Rattus norvegicus: one gene and its partners. The protein of the gene in region 5 interacts with the protein of the main gene of each other region in a biochemical or structural test. Links are inferred from orthologs where the notes say so. Each region holds a gene or a part of one and is shown on either strand. Other genes may lie near its edges.

The links. The genes of interacting proteins can lie anywhere in the genome.
Region 1: the proteins of Cul3 (region 5) and Dcun1d4 form a complex in vitro, tested with the Homo sapiens proteins (2 studies listed by BioGRID, with this or other methods). The link is inferred for Rattus norvegicus from reciprocal best matches to the Homo sapiens genes CUL3 and DCUN1D4.
Region 2: the proteins of Cul3 (region 5) and Dcun1d5 form a complex in vitro, tested with the Homo sapiens proteins (2 studies listed by BioGRID, with this or other methods). The link is inferred for Rattus norvegicus from reciprocal best matches to the Homo sapiens genes CUL3 and DCUN1D5.
Region 3: the proteins of Cul3 (region 5) and Kctd17 form a complex in vitro, tested with the Homo sapiens proteins (3 studies listed by BioGRID). The link is inferred for Rattus norvegicus from reciprocal best matches to the Homo sapiens genes CUL3 and KCTD17.
Region 4: the proteins of Cul3 (region 5) and Klhl20 form a complex in vitro, tested with the Homo sapiens proteins (2 studies listed by BioGRID and IntAct). The link is inferred for Rattus norvegicus from reciprocal best matches to the Homo sapiens genes CUL3 and KLHL20.

The regions. Positions count from the first base shown.
Region 1 is NC_086032.1:35,074,490-35,078,600, reverse strand, and holds the start of Dcun1d4 (DCN1-like protein 4), read left to right. Parts: upstream 1-1,311; 5' UTR 1,312-1,397; coding exon 1,398-1,422; intron 1,423-2,265; exon of another isoform or gene 2,266-3,310; intron 3,311-4,111. UniProt on the Homo sapiens protein: Contributes to the neddylation of all cullins by transferring NEDD8 from N-terminally acetylated NEDD8-conjugating E2s enzyme to different cullin C-terminal domain-RBX complexes which are necessary for the activation of cullin-RING E3 ubiquitin ligases (CRLs).
Region 2 is NC_086026.1:12,696,009-12,699,959, reverse strand, and holds the start of Dcun1d5 (DCN1-like protein 5), read right to left. Parts: upstream 2,801-3,951; 5' UTR 2,561-2,800; coding exon 2,475-2,560; intron 885-2,474; coding exon 793-884; intron 1-792. UniProt on the Homo sapiens protein: Contributes to the neddylation of all cullins by transferring NEDD8 from N-terminally acetylated NEDD8-conjugating E2s enzyme to different cullin C-terminal domain-RBX complexes which is necessary for the activation of cullin-RING E3 ubiquitin ligases (CRLs).
Region 3 is NC_086025.1:111,858,401-111,862,355, forward strand, and holds the start of Kctd17 (BTB/POZ domain-containing protein KCTD17), read left to right. Parts: upstream 1-1,155; 5' UTR 1,156-1,203; coding exon 1,204-1,413; intron 1,414-2,509; coding exon 2,510-2,618; intron 2,619-3,955. UniProt on the Homo sapiens protein: Substrate-adapter for CUL3-RING ubiquitin ligase complexes which mediates the ubiquitination and subsequent proteasomal degradation of TCHP, a protein involved in ciliogenesis down-regulation.
Region 4 is NC_086031.1:75,938,841-75,942,813, reverse strand, and holds the start of Klhl20 (kelch-like protein 20), read left to right. Parts: upstream 1-1,173; 5' UTR 1,174-1,257; exon of another isoform or gene 1,258-1,319; coding exon of another isoform or gene 1,320-1,350; intron 1,351-2,182; coding exon of another isoform or gene 2,183-2,223; coding exon 2,224-2,246; intron 2,247-3,973. UniProt on the Homo sapiens protein: Substrate-specific adapter of a BCR (BTB-CUL3-RBX1) E3 ubiquitin-protein ligase complex involved in interferon response and anterograde Golgi to endosome transport.
Region 5 is NC_086027.1:89,115,628-89,119,748, reverse strand, and holds the start of Cul3 (cullin-3), read left to right. Parts: upstream 1-1,321; 5' UTR 1,322-1,410; coding exon 1,411-1,476; intron 1,477-1,486; exon of another isoform or gene 1,487-2,771; intron 2,772-4,121. UniProt on the Homo sapiens protein: Core component of multiple cullin-RING-based BCR (BTB-CUL3-RBX1) E3 ubiquitin-protein ligase complexes which mediate the ubiquitination and subsequent proteasomal degradation of target proteins.

The DNA.
Region 1 (4,111 bases), on a different chromosome or scaffold from region 5:
CATTACAGGGATTCAACTTAATTACAGAGAAATAGAGGGTGATGGGATGGAACACATCCCAGTAACACAGTAATGTAGATGACAAGGACTGTCAGCTACTTCGCTATTGTAACATCCGTCCAAACATCCGTCCAGATTTCGGAACTCTGCAACTCAAGAGCCAAGGCGGTAGAATTCAGAATACTAACGCTGGACCGGACCCCTTTGTTATTTTTGGACGTATCATCCAATGTCTGTGGCAGAATCTATAGGCAGTCCAGGCTGTGCTTGGGGCAAGGGCTGTTGGAGGTTCCCAAGTGGAGAGTGTGTTCGCGGTGGGGGCGGGGCGCCCGTCCTCCAGCATCTCTTTGCGTTATTGCATTACCATAGTGATTGAGGAGAATTGGTTTTCAAGTACTGAAAAACGTAAAGAAACAACAACAAAAGCAGTATTTTGATTCAAGACACTTAACAATCACAACCCTATTAACGCTTTCCTCTGTTAAACAGCGGTTTGGCCAGGTTCAACTTATGTTTCTTAGACGTATAGTCAGGGGACCTAGCTTGTCCTGGTGACAGGCTGACTGACCCCAGAGCCTAATGTGGCACTGGGTTTTTCTCTCGCTGTCTGGGGAGCATAGAAGTGTCGGACGGACAATGCCTGCGCATTCGAAACCTTTGGCGCAAGCAATGCACAACTCTGAATAATTGACTCTAAAAAAAGGAGGCGCATTTCCAAAGTTGGGGACAGAAAGGTTGTGGCATAAAAGGGAGGAAAGCGGAGGCTTTTTTTTTTTTTTTCCTAATTTCCCGCGATGGGAAACGATTGATGAGAACTGGCGCGACCGGGGCACGGGCAGGATCAGGATCTGGCCGACCGCCTACCAGGGAGCACCGGTCCCTGTGGCCCCCAGCTTGGCTCCGGGTCCCTCCGCCCGCTTTGTTTCGGATGCTTAACCTAGGTTCTCCGTTGGTCTCTCTGTTGGTCTCCCGCTCCAGGACCCGCCCGCCACAGGGCGGGGCTTCAGGGTCAAGATAGACCAAGTCCCCTGTCTCGCCCCTCCACGCGCTTTCGGACCCTTGAATGACTGACAGCCGTTGGGTCCAACCTGCGGCTCCGAATAGTGGCCTCTACCAGGGGCGGTCCGAGGTGAGGAGCCGGGGCCAATCACGTTGCAGTCTAGGGGGCGGGGTCCTTTTGCCTGCTGCAGGCGGCGCAACCTGCACTCCTTCGGTCAAATGAGAGCCGAAGAGGGGCGGTCCCTCGGTGGTGGTCTAGCCAATGAGAAAGGCGGGATGGGCGGGTCGGAGTAGGAGCCGCCGGTCCTCTGTTGAGAGCTAAGGTTTGGGGAGTCGGTAGGGGGACCGCGAGTGGAGCGCGGGAGCCCGGGCGGCAGGCGGGTGTGAGCTGCCCGAAAATGCACTCGGATGCTGCAGCTGTCAGTGAGTAGCACAGAGCCAGCGGGCCGGCGCGGGCCCGCACACCCGGTCCGCTCCCGTGCTCCCTTCTCCACTTCTCCGGTTCCTACCGCGCTGGAGTCCCTGGCCCGGGAACGAGCTGTTCCCCTCCTGGAGTCCGAGGGCCGTGACGCTGCGGGCGGCTGGGGCGGGGGCAGGGGCGGCGGGGAGGGGGTGGGGACTGGCTGGCTTTCCGCGGTGGGGGGAGGGGGGACATATTCTGAAGGCCGGGGGCCGGGAGTCGGTGGTGCACGGAGGTGGAGACCGCGGCGGGCGCTGGCAGATGGGGTCAGGGGTGGTACGAGCGGGCAGGGAGAGACCCTACGGTCTGAGTACCGGGTGAGGCTTGCGGTGCCGGAGCTGTGCAGTCTACCGGGGAAGGCGGGGGAGTGCGAGAGGAGCGGGGGCGGGGACAATAGGAAGGAGGGCTGGGGGCGGGGGCGGGAACAATGGGTGGGGAGCAGGGGCAGCGACCGGGCGGGTGAGGGGTTGGGGGCTGATGTAACCCGGACACGGAGTGGGAGACACTGCAGTGGGATGGGAGAGTTGTGGAGTCTGGTGTGCGGGACGGCGGCCGGGAGTGGCGAGAGGGCTTGGGGGCAGGTGTTGGGATGGGGGTCCCTGGAGGAGTGGATGGTGGGTAGGACTGCGATGCAGTTTGTGGGCTGAGATAGGGGTCGGGGAGGGTGTGCAGAGTGAGTTAGGAAGAAGAGTAGGTGGGGAGGAGCGGGATGGGGAGGGCTGTCATCCTCGGGTTCGGTGCTCTTGGGGCGGGGTGGGGAGCGTTGAACTGTGCATTGGGGGAGGTGCTTCCTCCCGGGAGAGGCCCGGTCCAGCCTAGGAGGGGACCACCCTGAGCATCGGGGTGCACAGAGGAGAGGGGGCGGGGCCGGGTACTCGGGAGGTGTCCCGAGGCTGGCAGTGGCTGCCACTTTTAGCGAGCAACCGGGAGTGAGGTCAACGCGGGCTGGGATTACAGGACCCGGAGGCCGCTGTCTGCTTGCTGACCGGACCTGCAGGGGTCCTAGAGGCGGGGTGGAGGAATTAGCGTAAGAGGTGTCAGGGTCCCCGGCGGTCCGTAGGTTTGGCAGTGTGTGACGCAGTTCCCTAATTTCTGACTATCAGGTGTAGAGACTGATGCGTCAGGACCTGTTAACCTGTATGGAGGGCCGCTTTGGAGGCATAGCAACGCGCGTGCGAGAAGCTACCTCCGCCCGAAGCACCGGGAGGGTCCTTTAGGGGTTTCCTTTAGGGTCTGGCTCCTGGAACCGGTGTAAAGGGAAAGGCAGGCTCATGGAATTCTGGGACTTGTAGTCTCAGCTGCCCGGGCCGCGGTTGGATTGGGTGCACGTGGGTAACTGTGGAAACGAGTCCCAGAATGCAGCGCGTCCCTTGGAACCTCCTTGCTTGACTAACTCGTGCTTTATGCCGCGGAGACCCAATGCGTTCTCTCCGGGAGATTCCTGGATTCCTTGGGCACCGCAGAGGGCGAGCCCAGGCCAAGCCCTGGCCTTTCTCCGAGTTAATTTTCCCCTGCATCTGGTAGCCTTGCGGAACGAATGCTTAGTTTTGAAACATCTTGCATACATTCGTTTTAAAGCAATGTTTATCATGGAATATTTAGAGTGTATTCAGTGTATGGAAGTCTAGGGTGAAGTATATACATCCTTACATAAGTATGGAAACTAAGTAGAGACAAATACATCCCTTGTGAAGAAAATACAGACAACTGCACTGATATTTCTTGGGCAACTTGGTTTGCCCAAGAATTAGGGTTTTGTTTTTTGTTTTTGGAAGCAAATCAAGAATGGCAGCTTAGTGGAATTTGAGGTTGAAGTAGTCTCATGCCAGAACCTGAAATGAAACCCTAAAGGTGAGCAAAGGGGAACTGTGATGTCTTAACTTTTATGTAAGTAAAGCAAACGGGGCTGCTGTTTGCCCTTTGGATGCCAAGCTGTCCTTCTCTCTTGACCATTACATGTCTTCCTGAGTTTGTGGACTTCCAGCCACCAGCCACATCCTTTGCCAGTTCTCCTTAGTGATCACTCCCAAAGTGGGGGCTTTAAGATTTTTTTTTTTTTTTTTTTTTGGTGTGTGGTGTATCGAATTCTATGAACCATCAGTAATTGGAATGGTCATTGGAGGGGTGTTTTAATAACCCAATTGTAAACATCTTTTTTTTTTTTTTGTTTTGTTTTTTGTTTTTTTTTTTTTTTCCCGGAGCTGGGGATCGAACCCAGGGCCTTGCGCTTCCTAGGTAAGCGCTTCTACCACTGAGCTAAATCCCCAGCCCCCAATTGTAAACATCTTGATGAGTTTTTTTTTTTAATTTTTTTATTATTATTATTTTTTATTAACTTGAGTATTTCTTATATACATTTCTTGATGAGTTTTAAGATCTGGAAACGACCTGACACAATTAAGACAGTATTGAACTTGTATATGTAGCAGACAATTCTTTAAAACTTATTTTTACTATTTTTAAGTGTATATATGTGTGGGTATGTGCACGTGCATATAGATGCCATAGAGATCAGATGAAGGCTTGGGATCCCATAGAACTGGAGTTATAGGTGGTCGTGAGCTGCTCAACTGAGTGCGGGGAATGAAACTCAGATCCTCTTAGGTGTTGGGCAGTCTCTCTAGACCTTACAGGATGGCTTTTGAAATAAGA
Region 2 (3,951 bases), on a different chromosome or scaffold from region 5:
AATGTCAAGAGTTAAAAATAAATATTTAATTCCATCTTAAAATACTCAAGGAAGTCCTAATAGGAGCTAATAGAATCAAGCATTCAAGGAAAAAAAAAAATATATATATATATACATGCATAATGACCATCTTTATGGTGTCTAGTAACCTTTATAAAGTGAAATAAGATGAAACTTTCTGATTCTATATAATGCATTTTTAATAATGGGTCAACGTTTTAAATAGAGGTCAGCCAAAAAAAAAAATTTCTCTATATTTAATTTGGGTTAGTGGTTGTCTTGGGATACCAGTAATAGCATTTATTTCCCCTGATCTAGAAAGAATCTATTCTGCTACCAAACCATTTTTAAATTGTACAATTGGGATCACTGGTGTTCCCAATAGCAAAGTTGCTACCCCCTTTTCAAACTAGTCTAGCCTTGCATACAGTTAGCTTAACTTGACAAGTTAGGATGCCATCACTTAAAAGAGTAACATGGTTAGTATAATAACAAGGCAACGACTACTATGTGTTTTAGCTTTAAGCAAATACTTCTGAGAATAATAATGATAAAAGAAAAACAAAAACATAAAAGTAGGAAAGCAGGTAAGAGATTAGCTTTAGTATTAAGACTAGACCTGTTCTAAGGAAGAAAAGTTGTCAGATATGTTCATGGCACTAAATTCTGAGCCAATCCCTAACCCTTTAGCCTTGACCCTAATCCCAGTAAACATAACAGGTCAGGAACAAGGAATAAACCACAGCTTCTAAATGCAAATGATATGGTATCCTGTTAAATGAATTTCATTACCTGCATACTCATAAAACCAAGCCAGGCACTTCTTTCTTGAAAAATCTTCCTCTCCACTGATGAGTCTAGCAGGAGGCTGGGATCTGCAATAGCTTAGAAACACGTAAATGTCTAAGGCTTAATAAGACTCAACTTTAGTACAAAAGTAGCTTCAACAAGAATAGCTTCCATGTAAACAAAATAGTGGTTTATAAGTCAGCATTATGGGGAAAGGATTAGCAATAAGGACCTGCACTCAATGAAATCCAAATGCTACTTTGTTTGCTACCAGATTCCAAAAATAGTGCCTAAAATGATTTCCTTAGATTTCAAGATAATAAAGAAGTGCAGTCTAAGTCTCAACCCAAGACTAGACAAGAAAGTATAAACCTCTCTCCCTAAACTACTCATGTTGGGCTTGCTCTCTACCACTAAGCTATAGACCTTATCGAATGCCTGAAGACTTACTTCCATTTTGCCACTGATTTGTATGAAGATCTCTGTTAAAATTTAGGCTGAATCACTGGATACTGCCCAGCTAGCTGTTTTAACTGGTTTAAGTTAAACATCTTAGATATAGTTTTCCAAGAGCTAAGGTCAAGAGAAATGTTAACCACCAAAGGGCATAATGAAAACTGAATCTTATACATCACCCAAGAAATATCACCTAGACTCTTTTGCTAAAACACACTAAGGGCGGGAGAGGGGGGCACAAAGCAATTGATTACAAAAAGATTAGGATGAAACCAGTCACTTCTTTCATATTTTAAGCAGTGCATTCCTCACTGCATCTCTCCTTAAAGAGAAATCTTCTTTGTGTAGTGCTGGCTGTCTTGTTTTAATGGTAGTATTTTGTCACTTTATGTGTCAACCATTAATACAAAACAACCCATAGAGTATGGGAAGAAGCACACTTCTCAAAGTTAAATCGCAATAACTTTCAGAGCAATAATGATTCTGTGATGATTGAATGTATGCCATAAAGGGAGTGAATGGCTTTAACTTCAGTTTTGCTTTGTTTTCTTTTCCTCTAAGAGAACACAGAACACAATAGCTTGCAAACACCTAAAAGGGGACTGAGAGCTACTATCTACTTAATGCTACAAAACAAAAACCACAAGGGCCTTTTCCAACTCTGTGTAGGGAACTGGTACAGGTGGAGGCATGGTGCCTCTAGAAGCTGAGCCTCCAGCTATTTAAAAGGTCTCCTGCTGGGATCATCCACGTTAGGCCACTTCTAATACTAACTCAGGAGACCAATTATAGCATAGGCTTCCTTTCCACCATTCCCAAGGCAGCTGTCAAACTCTTCAAGCTCTGCTCCTTTCTTCACACCCTGATATTTAACAATGTGTGGGCCAAGCCAATTCTGCTTGTGAGACACAGGGACGCGATGAATCTTGGCAGATCCGCACTCACTTCTCGGTTGGGAAATTGGATGGAGAAGGCATACGTATGGTCGTCTGTTTCCTACCCTCTGGGCACGCAGACAACAAAGTGGGGTGAATCTCAGAGCTTGTCCAAGTACGCCAGAGCTCACGCACAGGCGAACACGAGGTTCGGTCCCGCGCGGAGCGGAGACTCTGGGCGCCTCACCGACCGCCTCGCCCGAGAGGGCTCGCCTCTCTCGTCTAGGCTAGCGGCTGGCGGCCTGTCCCGCAACGGGGAAAGGAGAGAGCTTGCGGGGTGGGGGCAGGCGGTACCTGGAGATTTTACACTTTTTGAGGCCCGCGTCTTCCGCGACCGCCGCTGCCACTCCGGGAGCTTTTCTCTTCTTCTTCACTGGCATCTTCCGCCTTCCCCGGCAAGGTGGACAGGGCGGCCGGGGAGGGGTATCGCGCTCCGCCGCAGGCCCCGCAGCGCCGGCTCCCGCCTGCCAGGGACCGCAGCGGAGGACCGAGGCGCGACCTCGCCTCGGGTTTCCTCTTTAGGGGCGATTCGGGGCAGCGCAGCGCTAAGCCCGGCGATAACGCGGCTCGGGCTTTTCCAGGGGAAGCGAACGCCGACAGCGCGGCACCTTCAGTAGTCGCGAAGAGCAGGCGGCTCAGCCTGACCCGGAAGCGGATGGCTCAGGACCGGAAGTGACGCAGCAAGGAAGCTTGCCGAGCCGGAGTGGTCTCCCTACCTATGGGCCTTTAGGATTTGCGTCTCTGCAGGTGGAGCCTCAGTCTCCCGAGTTTTTCGGGCGAGTTTCCAGAGGGAAGTCCTTTATAAAAATCATGAACGCTCCACAGCTGGCGAGCGAAGTAATCTGGTGAGGAGCCACGCGTGAATGTGCCCACTCCTGACCTACAGCGTCTCCAGCCCTTTGGGTGTTCTTGGTGGGCCTGAGATCAGTGTCTCACGCTCCTTGTCCTTTTCTCCCTCATGCTCAGTGTCAGTTTATGGCTTCCTCCTGTGCTGAGGCAACGCCTCCATGTTTTACTTCTGAGGAACTCTCCTCGTGGATAAGAGACTGGAAAACTGACTAACTTATACAAAGGGTTTGGGAAACCATTCTAATGGACCGCTCTCAAGAAACAGGAATCATGTTACTTCTAATGGAAATATTGTTTATAAGAAGGGTATGGTTCGGTCCCCAGCTCCGAAAAAAAGAAAAGAAAAAAAAAAAGAAAAAAAAAAAAAAAAAAAAAGAAGGGTATGGTATGTCTAGTTATCTCCTAGAAGATTCTTAGTGAATGAAGTTCATGTCTGTAAGCCAACTGTGCTACCATAGTAGGACCCTAATCTAGTCAGAGTTAAGGAGAAAGAGAAAAAACGGTTGTTGTAATGAGTTCTGGACATATAGTTAATATATTTTACCAATGAAAATAATTTTCAAACCTATACTCCATTCAACCCTATTATAAACACTGCACAAAGCATTGTTTTTATATGAAAATTACAAGATCTAAGCTCTAAAACAGAACTCCCTATAGAAGAAAGTAGACAACTGAAAGATGAAGATTTTTTTTTAAATATGTATTTATTATTGGGGCAATTGTGTACCAGTGCTGGGATGACAACTTGACAGTTCATTTTTCTCTATCTTGTGACTCTTGAGGTGGAATTCAGGTTGTTAGGCTTGGGAAGGGACATTATGTCTGTATACAGAAGCACCTAGTTATGTGATTTACTTTTTTCTGTTGCTCGTGATAGTTCTTGATTTTCACCAAGCTATATAATGAGAACCTATGACAG
Region 3 (3,955 bases), on a different chromosome or scaffold from region 5:
CCCTTCTCCCATCTTGCAGAGCAGACCCGTGCCAGCCAGTTGTCTCACCCCCAAACTTCAGTTCTAGCATATATGGGAGCCAAGTGGCACCAGGGCAACCAGTACCTAAACTTAACCTTCTGGATGTTCACGCCTTAAGCGGACTCCTCATCACCAAGACTGGTGTCCACAGCACTCTGGCTTCTGCCCCTCTGGACTTTGTTCTTGTCTTGATCTACCCCTCCCCTCTGTCCGTCCTTGCAGACCAGGGACCATCGGGACCTGCCCAACAAGCCCTATAAGCCAGGGTTGTCTTTACAATCCCTCATCCCCCTAAGCCTTGCCGTCCAGACTGACTCCAGCATTGGGAAGGAGTTGATATGTCTGCGTCTGCTTGCTCTTGGGTGTGGGCAACTGGAAGGTGCAGGGGGCTGGGTGGAGGAGGACTGAGCTTACTGTGGGAGCTCTGGCCTGATCCTTAACAACCCTGGGAAACGCACAGGAAACGGACTGGACTCTAGTATGGAATCCACCACACAGTCCCTTTACTTCTGTGACCACATCTGTGCCATTGTGTTTGTGATACCAATCCAGCAGGGCTTCGGGAAGCTTAAAGGGGTAATATGTATGTTCACACAGCTTCTGCCACACAGCCAGCAACCAACTACATGTCCTCAGAGAATTTAGGAGGAGGTAAAGACTTCATCCCTGTGATCTTTACCACACACAGGACAAAAAGAAACACTGCTGCTTTGGCTCAGTAGTTTAGCATACCAGAGGCCCAGGTTTCCAACTCCAGTAAAACACACGCACATGCGCATGCATGGGTATGCACACACGCACATGCTCATTCACACACAGGCACGTGTGCCTATTTTTAAAAGTAGGTTCAGGTAAATATAGGAATCTCTGGAGGAAGAAAGTTCTTCTCAGGACAGGTATTCCTCAGCTGCCCCACCACCACCACCACCACCACGGAGAACAATTGGGGGGAATAGCCAATTGAGGGAATCACTGTTTTTCCAGGGCCCCAGACTTCTGCAAACCAAGCAGTTTGGCCACAAGGAGATACCAAGTGATAGATCGCCAAGAAAGGTAATGTGGGGCGGGACATGCTGTCGGAGCAGCACCAGGACAAGCGCAGAGCATCCCAGCCCTGGCTCCAGACTACAGCTCCCGGCATGCCCCACACCTGGTACCCGCCCGCTGCGTGCGGAGGGAAGGATGCAGACACCGCGGCCGGCGATGAGGATGGAGGCCGGGGAGGCAGCGCCACCGGTGGGGGCGGGCGGCCGCTCTGGGGGCGGCTGGGGCAAGTGGGTGCGGCTGAATGTGGGGGGCACGGTGTTCCTGACCACCCGCCAGACGCTGTGCCGGGAGCAGAAGTCCTTCCTCAGCCGCCTGTGCCAAGGCGAAGAGCTGCAATCGGACAGGGTGAGCCTTGAGCCCGCTGACGGGAGGTGACCTGGCCCCGCTCTCCCTTCTGTCCCGCTTGCGCGTCCCTCGGCCTCTGGCTTTCCTAGGATTCTGAGGCGGGGAGCCGAGGCAGGAGGAGGGGGAGGAAACGGAGCCTAGAGGAATAGCTATGCCCATTGCCGTGGCAACGGGACAGCACAGGCCGCAGCCATTTGGAGCTGTGGAGCGCTGCCCTGGATCCCGGACGCTTCCTTACTAAGGAGCGCTGGGGAGGGACCGACAAAGCGGGCCTGCCTTACTGCCCTGGCTGACTCTTAAAGAAGTTGATGCGGCTGCTTCTCCCCGCCCTTGGGGTGTGGGCAGCTGAAGAGTGCAAGGAACTGGGTGGAGAAGGCCTAGGTGTCTTGGAGCTGAGCTTAATGTGGGGAAGAGCACTGGCTTTGAGATTCCACTTGTGGGCTCACCCTGCTGGGAGGAGGAGTGACCTGGGAAGAGAAGGGAACTTCCCTGCTCTGACTTTGGCCTCCTCATGTGCAAGGCCTCTGGAGTTAGCTTGTCAAAGTTCCCTGTCCCCCATTCTGTGGCCCTCTTACACTGTGTCCTTGGGTGAGTCCCCTGCTTCTTGATGTCTCAGTCTTCTGTGCTAGGTTGTACAGATGCCAGTCCCTGCAGGCTGCAAGTGTCCAATCAGAGTGTAGCTTTTTTGGACACTTGCAAACATCTAGTGGATAGTAGGGTTGCCTGGGGGGAACAGCCTCCAAGAGGGAAACTTTCCTAAGAGGGAAATTCACTGGGTCCTGTGCTGAGTGAGGTGGGGGTCACTCAGAAATCTGGTCACCCTCTATGCTCACATCTAATCCTCTGATAACAGGGTGGGGGGGCGGGATAAGGGAGGGTAGATGCTCCAGAGACCAGATGATTGGCTCAAGGTCACACAGCCCAGAAAAGGCAGAGGTAGAGTTTGCACCCAGATCCTTACTGCTCTATCTCTCTCCGCTTCCTCTCTTCTATAGTCATTTTCCAATCTGTAGTGACTTGAGCTTATATGGGGGAGGGGGCGCTGATTTGGGGAAGCTTGCACACCTCTCAGTGCCTGTGGTCCTCTCCTCCACAGGATGAGACCGGGGCCTACCTCATTGACCGTGACCCCACCTACTTCGGGCCCATATTGAACTTCCTCAGGCATGGCAAATTGGTGCTGGACAAGGACATGGCTGAGGAGGGTGAGTTGGTCCATTGCACTGGTCTGGGTCTCTCTACAGCCTACCAGAGCCTTCAGGGGAGGCCTAAAACTCCACTTGTAGCCAGGACAGCATCTATGTTTCTCCATTATTTTCTGCCTGTCCTAGAGTGGAGTCCCATTCTCCAGGTCTCTGCCACACTGACAGATCCCAGTGGTCACTGGGAAAATGATGTGGAAACAGGAAGTGGTCAAAAGGAACCAGCAAGGTCCCAAAACATCTGATGCCTTTGGGAATGAATGACCCCTCTCCTTGGCCTTCTGGCAAGCCAGGTGTGGCCTGTGACGCCACAGGAAGAGTTATGTCTCCTTTCTCTGCCTTATTCTGTGTCTCCCAAGCAGGGGCTTGCCATCAGCCAGTAGGTGAAATTTGTGATTCTAGAAGCTGGCAGCCTCTACGGCCCAGTGGCTTGTTGGGGAGGTGGGGTGCTATTCCTAGTAAAAGTTTGGCTTTTCCCAGACCTCTGAAGACTCATAGCCGGGCCCAGCTGTTGTGGAAGCAGAGTGGCGAATGGGTCAGAGCAGGGACTGCATTCATCCCCAAACCACCAGCTCTCCTCAGACTTGACTGAGCTCTGGATCAAGTCAGGCTGGCTCAGATATGTCAGTTTTCTTTGAGTCTCTTGGTGTCTACAAAAAAACAAAACAAAACAAAAAAAAACACATCATGACCCACATTCAGAAGAGATGGGTCCTGTGTACCTGTAGGTGTTTACACAGCCCTTGCTCTAGGCAATGGTCTTCTCTGGCTGACCCCAGTGGAGTACGGTGATCCGAAGGCTCCCCAAAGGACATCATGCTCAGAGCTTACTGTAGCCTACTGATAGCTGCCTTGCAGTCCAAGGGGAGCAGATCACGAGGGCGGGGCCTGTCAGGAGCAGGTCCCTCTGGGAGGTTCATACTCCAACTGCAGCATAGCCAATACCTGCCTACCGGTTCCAGCTCCTCAGAGCTCTGGTACTCTCATAGCCTCAGATGGGGTGGGGGAGTATCTGGAGAGACGGAGCTCAGGAAGAAGTGGTGTGGCAGTGTGTCTTAGTTCCGGTTTACTGCTGTGAACAGACACCATAACCAAGGCAATCTTACAAGGACATTTAATTGGAGCTGGCTTACAGGTTCAGAGGTTCAGTTCATTATCATCAAGGAGGGAGCATGGCAGAGTCCAGGCAGGCCTGGGGCAGGAGGAGCTGAGAGTTCTAGCTCTTTATCTGAAAGCTGCTAACAGAATACTGGCTTCCCAGGCAGCTAGGACAAGGGTATTAAAGCCCATGCCCACAAGGCCACACCTTTTCCAACAAGGCCACCTTTCCCAACAGTGCC
Region 4 (3,973 bases), on a different chromosome or scaffold from region 5:
TAGATCTTGACATAATTATGAAGAGCTGATTCACATTAAACTCCTCCCTTTAAAAAAGAAACAGAGTAGTTGAAGCACAAGCCAGATTACAGTAGACAGTAGGTTAAGAATGAATCAATGGGTTGATAAAAATAGGCAATATCACTTTTACCCTGGTTATAGGCTTAAAAGCCCATCTTTAGTCATTACCAGTCCTTAATGTTTTTATAACGCCCTTGTTATTGAGATGTATAGTGATAAAGAATTAAAATCATAACTCATATTTTGGAAGAACCTGAGTCGCTTTGACGATGACTTTTAGACAATCCACACAAAAGAAACCTGAGAGGTGCACGTATAAGATGCCATTTCAGGGGGTTGGGGATTTAGCTCAGTGGTAGAGCGCTTGCCTAGCAAACGCAAGGCCCTGGGTTCAGTCCCCAGCTCCGAAAAAAAGAAAAGAAAAAAAAAAGAAAGAAAAGGAAAAAAAATATGCCATTTCAATGGATCTAAATCATTTTATAACCATCAGATTGGAAAAATATTGAAGTTGAAAGTACCAATAATATAGACCAGCAAGAATCCTTGAACCATTCTGGAGGAAGACACAACATAATTGTGGCCAGATTCTAGAACCATTGTACGTGGCATCAAGTCGTGGCTCTAACCCTTACATGCTATGCCCTTTGCCCTTTTGCAGGTTACATAATGCTTTGGTACCAACTGGAATGGTACTATCTGAAATATAATGCTTTGGTACCACCACTTGGAAAAATGGTAATAAATCCTTCTTCAATAGGAGAGACGTTAGAACTGAAAAACTAATACACAATGTTATATATTAAGTATTTGATAATAAATGGAATATCCATTGCTGTTACTAGTATACATATTACTTATATATCACAGGTACATATGCAGAAAAAAACTGGCCCAAAAGACAAAGTTTATCATAGAACTAGAATTTGCTTGCTTTCTAAATATATTGTAAAAATCAGTTGGACTAATAGTACTACTAGTCCTGGGAAACGCTCAGCGAAAGGAGCAGCTACTTCCGGAGCCACACCGGAACCACTTGCCGGAACGTGTGCAGTTCCATGGGAAGGATTTAGTGATAGGACCACTTCCTGCTTCTGGATGGGGGGGTGGGGGGCGGGTATAGGGAAAGGAAATAGCTGCGGGAGCCGCATCCTGCCTGCGCTATCGGCTCCTGAGGTGGAGGCAGAGAGGGTGGAGAAGGCAGAGAAGGGTGCCGCAGAGAAAAAAGTGTCAAAGCCAGTAAGTGAGAGCCTTAGAGCAGGGGATGGAGAACAGAGTCCCAGGTCTCGCTTTGCAGATCTATGATCTCAACTTGCCGAACTGCCCAGTGGGGTCAGTGCTTTCTAGATTGCCTGTCAGTGAGCGCCTCAGAGGGACTGTGGGGCTCCTTGGTCGGGCCTTGCAGGGCTCCAGACTGCGCTACTGCCGTCCGTCAAGGTGTCTTGAAGCCAGGGGAAGCCTGTGCCATGCTTTCTGGGGACGCTAGGGCTCCACATCCTGGACAGCTTCACTTGGAATTCCAAGGGAGCGAGCACTAAGCCTCCCATTTTACCTTTGGAAGCCAGTAGGATCCTGATGGTGAACAGTATTTCTGCGACTAAGACGAGAGCTTGTGAGAGTTGTAGTCTAGAAGTACTTTCCCCGCCCTTGTTCAAGCTGCCCGGGCTAGTCGGAAGTGGAGTTGTTTTTAAAGGCAAATGCCTTGGCCTGGCTGTCACTTCAGAATCAGTTAACAACCTTCAGATCCAGTGCTAAAACAATGCGTTTCCTATCCGAGTCATTAAATTAGTACTGCTGTGGGTGAGAAGTGATTACTCTGCAAATATACTTGATGGTGAAGTTAAACAAAAAAAAAAAAAAAAAAAAAAAAAAACCAAAAAAACTCCAAGTGCATCTTGAACAGACAACACCGACTAGCGATCATGACTACTATGATCCTGACTGCTTTTCCACTTACCCTCACATTCACATATAATCTATCACCTTAGCATCTTTAGTTAGCGATAGCCATCTTAAAGGCATTACATTATGATTGTGCATCCATGCAAAAATTATATTAGGATGTGAGATTCTTGATTACAGACGAAATGAGTGAAACAATTTATATAAGTTGCTGGAGAATTCGAACAGTTTTTAGTAAGCTACTACTTTTCTCTTGTTGAAGGTACGGCTTTAGAATACGGTGAAGGATACTTTTCATGGTGCATGGAAGGAAAGCCAATGCGCAGGTAAGCCTTTTAGGAATAAGATACATTAATGTCAGTGGTTGGAATTTAGCGTCTACCGACAGTGCGTCATTTAACGTTAGTCACAAATCCTGCTTGGAATTTATCATTCTCGTTTCAAGTAAATCAAAACTAGTGATGTCAGAAATTAGCAACTTTGGTTGGTTGGTGTTGTATCGTTTTTGTTTTGGGGGGATTGTTTGCTTGTTTGTTTTGAAACAAGAACTTATTGTGTGGTCTCAGCTGTTTTGGAGCATGCTCTGTAAACCAAGTTGTCCTCGAACTCACAGAGATCCACCTGCCTCTATCTTTCAAATGCTGAGTTAAAGGTGTACGCCACCATATTCCACAGCTTGATAATGGAATGTAGGAGTTAGATTTCTAAAGAGTTTGGGTTTTCTAGTTCTTAATATTTAAATCTAACCTTTTGCGTAGCAATTTTTGTTACACTTAACCGTCAAGTGTACTATAATACTTTGTGAGCTTACCATAAATTTAGTACCTTGTGCAATATAGAAGATTCTGTTGCCAAGTAAAAGTAAATATTGTAAGACGCTGTGCTGCATTCCTAGTTATGGTTTGATTATTTTTACTGGTGTTCAATAATATGTTTACTAAAATAGCTGCGTTACAGTGAAGATTAAGGACTAAAATAGATGTAGAAAAATAGAAGTGTGAAAAAGTATGTAGGCTCTCTTGCCTCTAGAACTTACTAACGCCTTTTCTCAATCTGTCTGAGAAATTGTACTAGAATCTTTATTGAAACAAGTCAATTCTATTCAGTCAGTGTTTAAACTTGTATTATGGTTATCAAACTCTGTTTTGTCGTATGTTACTTAACATGGGAGATAAAGAACACAGAGACCCTATAGAAAGAGGCATGCAGTCCACCATAAGGACAGGACTGAGAACTGGGAATGGAGCTGCTATGACCAGCAAACCTGCAAATCCCCAGCACCTTAAGGCAGAGGCAGCAGGATCCCAAGATCAAGGTCACAAGCGAGAATCTGAGGATCCTTTTTCAGATTTGTTATTGATACATCACCCGGCTTTGAACTCTTCCTCTCTCTCTTGTCCTGTTAACTTTGCCAGTGTATGTGTCCATGATACAGCATTAGTACGTGTTCAGTGATGCTTTAAGATGTCCACGTGAGAAGACGTCACAGAGGTGACGCATTCTGTCATCTTACTTCTGTCTTACCCCATAGCAGAAAGTATTAGACTGTAACATACTACAAGAAACTAACCACACATTTATTAAGTGCTTCACCACTTCATTCTCTAAAATGATTATAAAAGCCACGGATTTTGTCTCATCCTTGGTTGCCATAAATGCCATGTCTTATGTAATTGCTAAAATAAGAACTTAATTTTTTTAAATTAAATTTTATTTTAATTTTATAATAGAGTGATCATGTTCTTTCCTTCCACCCAACTCCTCCCAGCTCCTCCCTACTTCTCACTCATTCGAGTTCCTGTTCTTTCTTCCTCTTAAACACACCCCCACACACCCACACGACAACAAAAACATGGAGTATATTTTGTATTGGCTGGCCACTCTTGGGCCTGGGGCCTGCCCTAGACTGTGGTTGATATACTCAGTGAAACCCGAATTCTCCTCTCTCAGCAACTCTCGGTTGCAAATAAGTTCTTGGTTGGAGTGAGACTTTGTGCCTAGTTCCCCTTCTCGGTACTGGGATTTTATAAAGGAAAGTCGGATTGTGGCAGTG
Region 5 (4,121 bases):
TTTGGGAGAATCTCAGATTTCCCAGCGTCGTTGGAAACAGCAATTGAGCAAGTAGGTAAATCAGAAGTAGGATTCATTCTGAATTAGAAGCAAAAGGCAGTAGAATTGGACATTTCGACTATAGGATGATAAAAGAGGTCCCGAACAAATAAAAAATGTCTCCAAACCTACAGCAAGCTTAATGCCACGGTGATTTTGGTTTTAATGATATATACTGCTCTTGGAAATGGTCATATGTTTAACACAAATATTGTGGTACATCAGGCACTTGTTTTATTTCAATTCAAACAAAAACCGGGTTTTAACATTAGTGGGCTCTGGATTCTCCAGAAAGTACCAACTAATCAACAAGCCCCGGAGCTTGCGCAGTGTAAGAAAGCCGGGTTGACTCAATACTGAGGCGTTGCAACACCTAGCTAAATACAGGACACTGGTTTCATAGACTGCAGGTAACTCAGGCACAAACACTGCTTTCAGGTTTCTGGCGGGGATCAAGTACCCATCCCTAGGCCACGTGCCCTAGAAAAACACAGGAACAGTTCTAGGACATAGGAGCCTTCCTACTCGCACCCCACACCCTTTCCCCTGACTACCTGCAATCCGCTCGGGCCAAGCTCAGCCCCGCCAGCCCACAACAGAGCACTCCCCACTTCCCATTCGGAACTTCCCCCGCCCACTGCCCACGTGACACCTCACCTTCGCGCTCCACCAATCAGAAGCCACCTCCGCCTACCAGGGTCTCCGACGCTCCTCTTTTGAAAACGCAGCCTACGCCTCCTGCCCCAGGCCCCGCCCCCAGGGCGCTGACTACGCCCATTCCTAACTCCCCCCACCCCCCCTACTTCTCCCCGCGCCCTCCCTTCCCGGGCTTCGCCCCGCCCCGCCCCCGGCCTTGCGCCCGCCCTGATCTCGCGAGATCGGACGTGCCCGCCGCGGCCTCCCGCCTCCCCTCCCGTCCTCCCGCCCCCTCCCCCCATCTCTCCACTCTCCGCTCTCCTCCCTCCCTCCTCCCCCCTCCACCCTCTGGGCCGGATCTCGTCTCGCTGAGGCGGAGGAGGAGAAGGAGGAGGAGGAGGACGTTCGGCCTGCGCAGTGAGATGTTTGTCCGTCGCCGCCGCCGCCGCCATCGCGGAGGAGCGCGATAAAGGGAGCCGAGCCCGGCGCGAGGGGAAGCCCGCGGAGCCGCCGCGCCAGCGCAGCCCCCGGCCGAGCCCGAGCCGCCCGAGCCCGAGCCGCCGCCCCCGCCGCCGCGGCCGCCCAGGGGCCGGCCCGCCGCCCAGCCCAGCCCGGGGGCCGCGCCGCCGCCCCCCGCCGAGCCCCGCGGCCGCCCTCCCGCCTTCAATGTGACACCGGCGCCTCGGAGTGCGAGCCGCAGCCGCCGCCGCCGCCGCCGGGGAGGGGCCGAGCACCATGTCGAATCTGAGCAAAGGCACGGGCAGCCGGAAGGACACCAAGATGCGGATCCGGGCCTTTCCGGTGAGTCGGTCCTCGGCGCCCGGGATCCGGAGCCGCGGCCGGGAGCCGCACGCGAGGCCGGGGCTGAACTCCGCCAACAGGCCGCAGCCGGCCTCCCCTCCCCCACGGCCGCCGCCGGTGGCGGGGCGCGAGCCTTCCCGGCAACGGGGCGGCGCGGGGCCGGCGCGGCTACCTCCCGGGCCGTTCCCCGCGCCCCGGCCGCCTCGGGGCCTCCTTCGCGCCGGCCTCGGTGCCGCGGCCCTGAGGGGATGCGCGCTGCCGCCGCCGCACCCCTCGCGTGGGGCGTGTGTGTAACTTTTAGCGTGCGGTTTCCAGAAGGACCCGGCTTGGCTTTTACGGTGGTGGGGAAGGATCGTCCACCTCCGCCCGACTCCTTAGTCAGGAGCGGTCTTGCCATCCGACTGCCCCACTCACTGACAGAGATGCCACGAAATACCCACTGGCAAAACACTACTAGCAGCGAGCATAGTATTTATAGCATCTTTGATCCTGCAAGCCTCCTAAGGACTTGACCCACTCGGGTTCAGAATCGTCCCTCCACTCTTTGAAGGGCCAGGCACAGAAGGAGCTCTTGCTTTTCCGTGTCTTAGCCAAGGAAGTCCCCAAGAATAGTTGCCACTCAGACTTGTTTTACCTTGTACGTCTTTAGCGACAGCAAACGTTTTCTCTTCAGAAACTTTTCGTCTTGGCGTTACGTTGAGTCATAGGCTTGCGGTGTTTAGTAGATGGAGTGTATGTAACTTTGGATGTCTTGCCTCGATCAGATAGCCAGTGGCAGGCAATTAAAACGTCCTGTTGTAACAAACTGGACGTACTTGCTCATGTCGCTACAGTAACAGGTAAAAGTCAAATAGACAAACCAGCAGTGGAGCAGATTTTTAAAAGTAAAACTGGAGGAAGTTGTTTTCCCCATCAAAGGCTCATAAGCATTCTGTCCTGTGGGAGGGAAAGGGGGCCTTTGTCATCACTTTTTGAGCAGGCTTTTCCTGAAGTACCCTTTGCTGTGAGGAAAGGAAAGACCACGAGTTAAGTAACTTTGACCTGGAGAACTTGAGGGCCTCTGAATTCCTCATACCAAAGAAGTTACAACCGATGCAAAATTGTGGCTTTGCAAGGGACATAGTGTCAGCGTGTAGAAACTTGCACCTTAATGTAAATAAATGGGCTCTATGTAAACATGTAGGGCATAATTGGGTGAATGAGGTATTTTGATATTAGTTGCATTATGAGTGATTTTTCTAAATAAGAGATTACATCAGAAAGTGAGAAATGCCGGAAAAACAGCGCTAATAAAGGTAACTATTATGTTTTCCTTTGTAATTGGACAGTGAGCCAGGTTTATGAGCTTAATTTCCCTACTGAATCAACCACCCAAGTGATTGTCAAATCCGAATCCTTCCCTCTTTTTTTTTTTTTTTATAGCAGAATTCAGACTTAGTTGGGATTTTGTTTTGTCTTGTTTTTTGCCTTTTTTTTTTTTAAGTCAACAGTGACACTGATTTTTCTAGGAAATGTTTGCTCTTGGTTCTGTTGTTTCTTGGAGTCTTTGTTGTTGGGTAAAAAGTGAAAGAGCTTATATTTGGCCAGTTAATATTTTTCAGAGTAACCAGTTCTACCTTTATCTGTGTTTGCAACTCTTTGATCTCTAGATTTCTCTACTTGAACCTGTAGAGAAATCATCATTGGTCCAAGATATACTGAGTACTGTATGCAGTACTATTTATTCCTAGAGCTTTAGGACTTAGCAGTAGATGTGAAAAAGGAAAAGATCAGTGTTTTCTGGAGCTAGCATTGGGGATTAGAAGCAGGAAGAGAATTTTGTATCATTAGCTGAAGATGGTAATAGTGTGTGATAAGCTAGTATTGAAACTGAGATTTTGTTTTGTTTTTTGTTTGTTTTCTAGTTCGTAAGTAAATAACCATAGGTTGTTCCCGTTGAAAATAATCAGCCATGGTTGAGGCTAGATAATGCCCCAGTGATACTTCATTGAGTTCTGGGAAGTGCATCCTTAGGCTGTCAGGATTTCTTTCATTCAGATTAGATGTCTTGTATATAGTAAGTACAGCCCACATGGACTCTTAGAAGTTGTAAGTATGTGGTATTTCACACACAGAAATACATACCATTATTTGCTTATACATATATGTTCTTACAACTGGTATATGTTGTACCATGTGAATATGTTGTTACCCATAGTTTATGGCAGACTGTAAACTAATCAAGTTTCAGTTGCTCATTTCAGGTTTTTTACAAAATGGATGTGTAAAAGGAATGAAATAAGTTTAGACTTGTTGGTTTTCACTGTACAACAGTGGTAAGTTAACTTACAGGATATATTTCATAAATAGATGAGTACTTTTGATAAAAGTTACCATATAAATCAGGGTCTTTACTTTTTTTCCTTACATTTTTAGTGGATATTTTAAGCTTGCTGTCACATTATTAAGCAGAGTAAAAGTTACACCGTATTAACTTAGAATTAATACAGTTTTTTTCCTGCCCCCTCAATTTAAGTAAATCTACAAAATTTATTTAAAATAATTAATTTCTGTATTTTTAATTGTTGACAGAAAAAAGTTAATCTCTTAATTTTTAGACTTCCCTTCATTATGTAGAGTATTGCTTATTATACATCTTTTTGTTG